Linked DNA regions of Saccharomyces cerevisiae S288C. The gene in region 2 interacts genetically with the main gene of each other region. Each region holds a gene or a part of one and is shown on either strand. Other genes may lie near its edges.

Region 1 (3,184 bases), on a different chromosome or scaffold from region 2:
TCTTGAAATTTTTTGATCATGATCTGAACTCGCCGCCTCACCTGCCACTACGTCTTCCGCATTCCGAGTACTAGAGAATGAACAATGGTAGTCGCTTTCAAGGCCTAACCATTGAATCCAGCGCTCGGAAGTGAGTCCGTCAAGCGTCTTTAGTCGAGGCTCCGATGAACCGTTCTTGTTGTATCGTCGACGTATACGTTGCGCTGTAGCTCTGGATAACGGTAAGCGTATCACCGTAAGCTCGTCAATTATTTTTGAGAGCCGCGGTCATTTTGTTAGTATCTCTTCTCAACTTGGGCAGCACACACGCAAAACATCACCCAATCGGTCCTTTTTGTTCATCATATCGTTACATATCTGTGAAAAGTACTTTATCTCAATGGGTTTACGTGGGCATAGATCACGCTTCAGCCGCTCTGTGTCGACTTTCTTTTCGCCAGGTAAACTTGCTTGGTATGCAGAAAAAATCGATAGCTCATCTACGTGTAGTAACAAAAACATGTGGGGTGCCAAATTGTACCCATATTTCCTTATGGTGCTTTTCTGAAGACTCCTTACAATAGGTGCGCCAGAAACAAAGTCAGTGAAAGTACGCATCGTAGAGCTGTCGTTCGGCCTGGCACTCGCTATTTCGTGACAACGTTCCAGGACACGGAAAACTCAACTCATTATAGTATCCTCTGTTGAGGTAAAAAAGAGAAAGGGTATCGTAATCCTTTCTATTGAATTTCAAAGTATGCACTTGAAACAACGTGTAGACCATCAAGTTGATTTTCTTGGGAATAAGATACTTTGAAGGGATTGGTCCGCCCTGGAAATCTGGTTCGTCTTCAACAAATGTCAGGAACTTTTGTACATTTTTCCCGACCATGACGGAAATGACAATTTTTTCAAAAGACCTTTTCCTATTCATTGCACCAGTTCTGAATTTTACCACTTTGATTAGGCCAGACTTTTCGTCTTCGTAGAATGACCGCACTTCCGTGGGGATCGATTCAAATAAAGTTATTGAGGGACAATGTACCAAGTCGTTTTTGTTATTTAGAGCCGACTCAAACTCGTCAAAGTTTGCTTTTTCAAACTTACGCCTATCGGAAACTTTCATTTTATTTTTGTAAGTTTCGAAATTAACAATAGTATGTTGATTGTTATGCTTTTTGACAAGAAATCCATCAATATAAACAAAAGATTGTCCAGTTTCCGTCTTATCATCATCTAAGAATGTAATAATTAAGCTATTGAGAAGATGCAGAATCTGCGCTATGCAGGTGCAAATCTCCAGCAGCAGCAAAGAAAATTCAGTTAATAAGAAATCTCACTAAGATAAGCGACTGTCTGTCCCCTTCAAGCACAACATAGAAAACAGAAGGATGTCTCATTCATCGCTTGATTTCCGGCCTGCAAAAATAAAGTAGTCGGTACGCACTTTCGTTTTCAATTTCCATGGTGCACAGTATCTTAACTATCTGCTTAGTCGAGGAGAACCAGGATTCGTGGATATTCTCTTGGATACTTCAAACATGGACCTACGCTTAGCCTGCGCTTAGCCTACAACTTCTTCCGCTCTCGAAAAGACCAATATAATAGAAAGTTATAAATTACATTTCCTTATTAGGTATACGACCTCGCGCTTCGAAGTAGAGGAGCCCTTTTTGGCGTACCTACATATGGCGCGTCAGACAGACAAACTTCCCCCAAAAATGTATTACCCCGCCGAATAAGAAAACAGACCCATTCACCCACGACGTATCAAGTTACTTCCTTGGTGCAATGTCCCACTATAAAAAAATTCCTTGACGCTAGATCGTTGGACTAAAATCTGCGTCCCAATCGCCTAAACAGGAAATATTGCCTATTTTCGTACAAGGTTACTTCCTAGATGCTATATGTCCCTACGGCCTTGTCTAACACCATCCAGCATGCAATACAGTGACATATATATACCCACACACCCACACACACCACACCCACACACCCACACCCACACACCACACCCACACCACACCCACACACCACACCCACACCACACCACACCCACACCACACCCACCACACCCACACCCACACACCACACCCACACCCTAATACTACCTCAACCCTACCCTAATCCAACCCTTCCATCCTGTCTCTCAACTTACCCTCCATTACCCTGCCTCCCCACTCGTTACCCTGCCTCCCCACCACCAACCCACAAATCCACCATAACAGTTACCCTCCAATTACCCATATCCAACCTCACTGCCACTTACCCTGCCATTACCCTACCATCCACCATGTCCTACTCACTGTACTGTTGTTCTACCCTCCATATTGAAACGTTAACAAATGATCGTAAACAATGCACACATACTTACCCTGCCAATACCCTACCATGCCCCATCTGTCATACTCACCATCACTTGTATACTGATACGGCATACGCACACGGATGCTACAATAGTATATACTATCTCAACTTACCCTACTTTCACATTCCACTCCATGGCCCATCTCTCACTTCATGAGTACAAATGCACCCACATCATTATGCACGGCACTTGCCTCAGCGGTCTATACCCTGTGCCATTTACGCATAACTCCCACTATTATCCACATTTTAATATTTATATCTTATTCCGCGGCCCCAAATATTGTATAAATGCCCTTAATACATACGTTATACCTCTTTTTCACCGTATACTAACCACTCAATTTATATACACTTATGCCAATATTACAAAAAAATCACCACTAAAATCACCTAAACATAAAAATATTCTATCCTTCAACAATAATACATAAACACACTCAATTGCGTATCAATACCACCATGAGGTCATTAACTTAAATGTTCCTTAATACCGTCATACCACTATGCTCTATTCCATATATTGTAATATAACTGTACTCTATAGTCATACAGACGCTTTTACTTCACCCTATCTTCTCATACTATTGTCATAGAATCGCACACTGACGCATGATTAAAACGAATAATTTTTACTATAAGGCCTCCCATCCGTGCTCTATCCTTTTGTTTGAAACATTTATATACAGAATCTCAAAGCAAGCGGGAGAAGTAGTAATTACCCAGAGGTCATGCATGATCTTAGCACCACCGTACCTCTAAGTTTTGCTTTGAGCCTTTTTACAGTGACATCAAACATAAGGAGAAAAAATGGTATTGAAAGGTTATCAATATAGGG
Region 2 (3,759 bases):
TATTTTTGATGGTTTACCAATGTTTTTACTCGTATTAATTTTTATTGTGGCGTTCCCACTAATTAACATTTTTAGAATACATGAAGAGTCTATTCAAGCGCAACAATCAGCAAGATTTGACGGCACCGACTATCCTGACGTTGAGGTGACGTCTATCGAAGAAGATCTCGCTTCAAAGAGCGAATAAACTGCTTTCTATATTTACATGTGGGAAATGTGGTTTTATTCTGTATTTGAGCTAGTGAAGTGCTGCTAGTATAAATTTAAGTAATCTTTCATATATTGCCAGTGGGGTTCTAGCACTTTAGTGAGAGTATTTGGATAACTGATACAACAATGTAGTCCGTTACCAGGAGTAGAGATTACGCTTAGTGAGAAAATTGAAGATATTCCTTGCGGCTCGTTGAATGTAGCATCCACTATATAAAACGGTAAACTGGTGTTGCATGCATCTTTAAATGTTTGAAATCCTAAGTTTGTTACTTCAAATGTGGAAGAAGGTCCGTTATTCAAGCTAATTTTATCTTCTATGTATTGTTGAGAAGAAATAACCTCCAATAACTTTACTTCGTTTACTTTATCTATTATTTTATCCTCGGAACTGCTTCTTATGGCCCTTTGAATTTGAGAAGCGATATCCCATATTCCACGGTTTTGATGTAGTTTATGGTTGAATTCTATGACCGCAATAAAATTTCCCACGGCGAGCTTATCATCTGAAGGTAATTTCAAGACTCGTTCAAAAGGCTTTCTAATATTCATTGGTAATTCAATTTTCAAAAATGATCCGGTATACTCATGTGCAGCTATTTTTTCGAAACTGGTGCAGACCAGGGCACCTAAAAGGGAAGTCAACGAAGTATTATTGGCCTTGCATTCTTGTAAAATGTCGTTGAGATGGGTCGGCGATAATCGAAACTCCCATTGATGGTTCGTGTTTTTAACTTTGTATTTTTGAGTTCCATCGCTCGGTTTATCATCCAGCAGGTCTTTTGGAAATGAGTAGTTGGCAAATTGGATTAAATTTCTATTGTTTTTTACGACTGTTTGTGGAAACCAATAATGTAGTCTACTGACCAATTGTCGCACTATATGCCAATTCCAAGGTATGGGCCAATCTCCGTATAGTGGGGCTGACATTATTTTTTCAGTTGATGAATTTAATGATGGTGAATATATTGTTTCATCAATTTCAACCGGCTGTTGCATCTGTAGGCCTTCCATAAACGTTTCCCACACATGAATAGCGGACATCCCATCCATGAGAACATGATCTGTCAGCAATAGCATTTGATTTTGATTAGGGAGGATCAGAATTTTCCATAAAGGTTTATTCTCGTTGTATGAAAAGTTATACCTTTGAAAGATGTGGTTAATTTCGGTTTCCCCTAACTGGTCCCAATCGTGGCGGTATTCTACTAGATCGCAAAATTTCAGTGGCTCAAGAATGTTTTGTAGGAAGTTTTCCTTTTTCAATTCATCATAGAATACATTACAAGTCAAACGTTCATGTTGGATTACAGTATACTTAAGAGCCGCTATCAGTTGACTTTTTTTGGGCAATTCGTTGAGTTTGATTCCGACATAAAAACATGAATGCAAATTTAGTCTGCTTCTATGGAAAAAGTAACTTTCAATAGCAGAAAGTTTAAGATTCATTCTTGCGCTTTTTCCTTTTCGTAAAAATATCTGTAGATTGTTCGTTTTGACAGCATTTATAGTTGTCCTCTTTACCTCTGCTCCGCACAAGTTGAGTTAAAAGAAAGAATATAAAGCAAAAACCTAAAAAAAAAGATATGAAGCAGGAGCCAAAAAATGCTGTATTATCTATTTCAACTATTATACAAAAGTTTAAAAATATAGGTAAATCTTCAAGACTGCGCTATCTATTTGAATAAAAACGAATAAGTATTATCATATCAAATGAGTGCTTGTGTGGTTAGGATATATGTAAAGAGGAAGAGGAAAGGGGGAGGTGATACCGAGGCCAACGATCGTTACTCAACCTTGATATCGGACAATCCCAGGTCTTCATTTTGCTCTTTAGTTCTTTCATAATCTTCGATAGTCATGTTTGGATCCGGATCTGGGGCGTAGACATTTTGTATGTACGACCCGGCCAATGGATCTTCCATAATGACTGTGAACTTGACTTTCCCAGCGATGGCCTCCTTTAGCTTGGCAAAAAATTCTACCCAGCGGGCTTTCGTTGCTTCGTCCATGGAATCCGAAGTTTGAGTGAAAATACGGGATTCTAGTTCTTCGTAGACTTGTCTTAGTAAACCTTCCAAAGTGGTGAATCTACCACCCAATGTACCTTCTTGAATATCAAGATGTAATTCAGGAATTACCATACTACAGGTCTCAGATTTCAAAATATCACGGGACAAGTCAGCTGCATCGTCACAGTATAAAGTAATCCTTCTTCCTTTGTCAGGGATGGCACCACCGGTCTTCACCTCATTAGACTTATAACCACAATGATCGCAGACCGTCGACATGATAATGACTTCTTTAAAGTGTGGGATATTTACTGGCTTCATATGAGTTTCACACTCTTGGGTACACGATGGACAAGAAGCTCTGAATGTTTGCACCTCGTTGTTAAAGTTTTCGATGTCGGTGGCGTCTGACAAAAACTGTGGGTTTGCTGAGCCAACTTTGACAGATTCAGAAGGATTTCTTTCACGGTTGGCCAATTGTTTTAATTGTTCTTGGCGACGTTGCTCCAACTGGTCTCTAGTAATAATGCCAACTTGAACGTTTTGTTCGTCGGTTCTCACGTACTGGGTATGAGACCATTTGTGTTGAGGTTCACCGGGTTTGTATTCGATCCAGGAATTTCCCGCAGGATCATCCAAAATAAATGTAATCGGAATAGTGTTGGGTTCACAATTGATGTAGGATTTAACTTTCTGTATGAAGTCATCGATCTTCTTGTAAAGAGCTTCGTCTATAGATTTTCTCATTTCCTGGTCTTGCGACAGATCGTCGATCATCTCGGATAACAAACCTTCAACTGTCGTCAATTGACCTCTCTTAGCAGGAATCTCAATGTCTAGCTCGACAAACTTACAAGTGGCAGTTTCTGACTTAATAACTTGCCTGTTAAAATCTTCACGGCACTCCACTTTCAAAACGTAACGAGAGCCCTTCTCTTGAATTTGAGAAGCGGGTTGGATCTCACAGTTCTTAAACCCACAGTGAGGACAGTCGAATGACATAATAATTATTTCTCTGAAATAAGGGATGGAAGTCAGAAGAAGTCTGGTTGTACCGTTCTTTCCACAATTCATACAAAGAGACTCTATCTCTTGCACTGGATGGCCCATGGCGTCCTGTGCGCCGGTTAACTTGACGCCGTCATTAGCTTTGTTCTGTTCGGCTATGCTTTCATCTTCGACCTCTGCAGCAGCTTCTCCTACTGGTTTAAACAAATCTTCCTTTTGTTCGCTCATTATTTTCTATCCTATTTCTTAACGGTATAGGTATAATATGTATCTCTGTGTATATATGCGACTAGCTATTGCTAACGATGCGAACCTACCCGATAACGCTATGATTTCCTTTGCGTTGAACATCATAGCATTATAAATGTGCATCTCATCGCTGAAAAATTTTCGTCAACTATAAACTTTTAGGATATTCTAGCCCTGATGGGGCTAGAATATTCTAGAAAACTCCAGAGGGTTTCGGCACAATTTATTGTAGGGTTAGTAAGGGCTTTTTTATCAAGGTGAAAAATTCACTCGATGCCTT
Region 3 (3,759 bases), on a different chromosome or scaffold from region 2:
CGGGAAGCCGCTGTTTTATTGAGCATTCTAATGCTTTCTTTTTCCCAGCACCTAAACCACACAATACTTTACTCCAGTTCCGTATTTGCCCCTCCCATGGCATCACGCCTATACCTTAACTGTTAATTCTCACCGTCCCCATTATACTAGGTTTAAAAAAGAAGGTGGTCAATCCTGTTGATATCTGTATCTCTATATAACAAAACTTCGGTATAAAACATTCACACTTCGAGTAAAATCAGTACCTATCTTCATGGACCCTCCAAAATGTCAAATTGTTATCAAGCGATTGATAACTCTAATGCACAGGTGTAATACCGTTTTACTACTGTCAAAGAAACTACATATAGTGTGAGAATCCAAAGCTAACATTTTCGAGTAACTTCGGGTTTTAATAGATTATTATCTGAATGCGAAGTTCAACATTTGTTGTTTCCAGCGGCCTTCTTTGTTTCACAATACAGAAACTAATATATATATATATATATATATATATACGCTGCAGTTCATATTTTAGTCTATTTTTTGAATAAAGGTTCCATTTTGTCGGAGAAAAGATTCTTCGACTTTGCTCTAGAAATTAAAAACGATGGAATATTAATCGTCCCAAGTAACGGTAGTGGAAATTGGCCAAACCCTGCATTTGGCCCAAGGGAGACACCACTTGGGGCATGTCCTGTCTCAAGACAATCTGCATCAACGAGACTAGCCTCTGTTCCTTCTTGTAAAGAACTTATAACATTTCGGGTCAAAACATCAACCCAATTATCTCTTTTAACCAATCCGTGATATCTAAAATTCGTTACATCACCAATGGCAAAAACGTTTCCTGCCTCAACAGCTTTTACCCTGAAGTTTTTTTCAACTTGAATGAACCCTTTCTTGTCACAAAGGTCTGAAATACTGTTGACCGGCACATTTGGAGAAATACCAACGCCTCTGTAAATCAAATCAGCATCTATATATTTAGATGAGCCCTCACCTAGAAAAATACGTTTCGGCGAGGTGTCTAAAGAAGCCCCTACTGTGTTCAAGTACAACGTAATACCATTTTTTGAGAGATAGTCTGTCACATTTTTTCTTAGGGTATCGTTGTATAACCCAGAGTCCGGCAGTAGCTTATCGGAATTATGAATAATGGAAATACGCTTTTTGCCAGACCTGATCTCCTCCAAATACTTGAATAACAATTCACCAGCTAGTTCACAATTAACAAAGCCACCGCCAAGAAAAAGTATGTGATCTGCATCTGAGATTCGAGAAGCCTCTCTTTCAAAATACTCTTTATAGTTATCCCCGAAGGTATAAGTTGAACCAATTGGATCAGCCCACTTTGAGCCAGTTGCAAGAACCAAGATATCAAACTTTATGGCCCTGTCTGACCCCAAAACTACCTCCTTATCATCAAAGCTGGCAGCCGTATCTTTGATAACTTCAATACCACTATCAAGAACATTTTTTAACGGCAGGATCGACTTGGTATAATCCTTTGAAACCGTCAAACGGACAGCTGAGGGTAGAAAATACACATAATTAGATGCTGTGACGAGCTTTATTGCGTATGTCCCACCCAGTTCCCTGTACAAGTGATTTGCCACAGACACACCAAACACACCAGCACCAACAACAACTATGTTCTTTGTGTTAATTGTCATATATTTTGCAATTTCTTTCTTCCTTTCTCTGCTCTTTCCTGTAAATAATGAAGAACAACGATGAGGAAATGTGTGTCTATCAATGATTTATCACTGCTTTCGTTTCTAGTCTGCAGCAGCTAATATATTAATACTTATAATAGGCTTCATTTGTCCAGCCAGATAAAAAGGACTAATCATGCAGGGTGGACATTCAATTAATTTTTATCGCTTTTTAACGATTACTAATCCAGTATTACCAACTACAATCACTCAGTCATGTATCACTAATAACGAAAAGTAAGCTGTACAATGCTCATCTTCCTAGCACTACTAGTACTGCTACTATGAGACACCATTGAAGTCTTCTTCAAGACCCCCATTATGAGAACACTTGGCTCACTATACAATCGGCGGGAGATGGGTTGTTATTATAGAGAGTTTCAGGAAAAGCACTCCTAGATTCTAGTCAAGTACTGCCTATTGTATAAGAGACGAGGGCACGAGATAGCGCAGTATTTTATGATGAAAATATGAAAATAAATACTTAACTCATTGAGTAAGCTTAGCTGGGCAACTTAACTAACAGTCAAAAAAAAAAAAAAAAAAAAAAAACAAGAGCCAGCAAACTGACATTAACATTGATCAATAAAATAAGAAAAAATGTACCAGAGAATTCGATTATGAACTGATGACAATATCATTAAAGACTTTGCACAGTATTCAAAAACTAATCGAGAGCTTTGACCAAAAAGTGTCCCGACTTTATAATGAGACCGCCGCTTAATTCATAGGAGTTATATGGTATGCTTTGGAAAGCTATTACATTGTTTGATAATTCAAAAATAAGCCACAATACTTCACCTATTGTGTACCATGTATTATAAAACATCGCAGCTCGTATCTGTAAACATACATTGACTTACATTTTAGTGATAACTTGGGTACTTGAGTGAAGTCCATTTCTCCCGTGCTTCCGGAACATAAACCAACATAGATTCTCTTTCACTCGAAACTGCTCGAAGCTGTTGCTCTTTTTTTGATCGTGGCTTTAACTATAAAACTCAACAGCTGCGTGATGAACGCGCTGTCAACAAATTTCATCTTGCGAATTATATAAAAAACACTGCGAGTGATTAAACCTCAGTAAACTTGTTACGTACCTCATAACATTAATGTGAAATACACTATATTGAATATGGGGGAAGAGATTAGACTTTTGTCCTCTAAAGGTCTTGAGACCCATAGTAGCTTTTGTTTGCCCGAGGATATTTTCAGAAACCGTTTAACATGGTTGTGCAGTGAGATTCGCAACTCAGGATTTTGGATCTGGTCGCTATCATGGTTACCGCTTGCCGTTTGGTGGGGGATGGCCAGTACTTGGTTTTATCCCCTTCTGACTTCAGTAGTTCTAATCCTGGCGCTAATTGCTATTTTGCCAGTAGTTCAAATACAGTACAGTAAATATACTTTATCAAATCAACTCACCCAGCTTTCTAAAGAAATCATCAAAAGTGCACCAGGTGCATACTCTGCTGATTGGGACGCTGTTGCAATACATTTCAATTCCTACTTGTATGAAAACAAAGCATGGAAAACTGCACATTTTTTTTTTAATGGTACTGACTGCCAAGAAGCATTCAGGAAAACCATTCTAGAGCCAGCTGTTTTGAGGAGACAAAACGAAGATCCTAGGTTCAGTTCAATTGAGATTTTGGTCCCTTACACCGAAGACGCGGTGCAGGTTTATTTTACAAAAGTAAACGCACAGTGGAGGTTGATCCATGGTAAGAAGGAATGCAAACTTACTATGTTGGAAAATGTCAAGCTTCCTAAGGAAACCTATCGCTGCAAGCTAGCATGGAGTTGCCAGAGAATCAGGATTTCTTTCTCTCCACTAGACTTCCTTCCTGATATGTCTGACTTCTTTATTTGTGCAAATTTATCACCAGCATGCTTGGTATCTTATTGGCTAATAGACATTTTCTTTAGAATGATAGATGATTTTCAAAACATAAGGCCTAAATCGATGAAAGTTGATGATAAAATGCAGTACCTATCAGATATTATAAACGAGCAGGGTGCTAGCCCTGAAAAATGGGATACAATTGCAAGGAAAACGAAT

What was found.
Region 1: mutations in SLI1 (region 2) and YFL064C together harm fitness more than expected from each alone (negative genetic interaction), as found in Saccharomyces cerevisiae (one large-scale study listed by BioGRID).
Region 3: mutations in SLI1 (region 2) and AIF1 together harm fitness more than expected from each alone (negative genetic interaction), as found in Saccharomyces cerevisiae (one large-scale study listed by BioGRID).

The regions. Positions count from the first base shown.
Region 1 is NC_001138.5:2,742-5,925, forward strand, and holds YFL064C (uncharacterized protein), read right to left. Parts: upstream 1,106-3,184; coding exon 581-1,105; downstream 1-580. Other genes in the region: YFL065C (uncharacterized protein), read right to left, coding at 289-597.
Region 2 is NC_001139.9:914,940-918,698, reverse strand, and holds SLI1 (N-acetyltransferase), read right to left. Parts: upstream 1,660-3,759; coding exon 253-1,659; downstream 1-252. Other genes in the region: RTA1 (Rta1p), read left to right, coding at 1-187; zinc finger-containing protein ZPR1, read right to left, coding at 1,998-3,458. UniProt on the Saccharomyces cerevisiae protein: Confers resistance to the sphingolipid biosynthesis inhibitor drug myriocin (ISP-1). Inactivates ISP-1 by converting it into N-acetyl-myriocin. Cooperates with YPK1 in mediating resistance to myriocin.
Region 3 is NC_001146.8:777,084-780,842, forward strand, and holds AIF1 (Aif1p), read right to left. Parts: upstream 1,656-3,759; coding exon 519-1,655; downstream 1-518. Other genes in the region: COS10 (Cos10p), read left to right, coding at 2,833-3,759. UniProt on the Saccharomyces cerevisiae protein: Putative FAD-dependent oxidoreductase involved in the resistance to cercosporin and other singlet oxygen-generating photosensitizers. Translocates from mitochondria to the nucleus under apoptotic conditions, where it degrades DNA and induces apoptosis.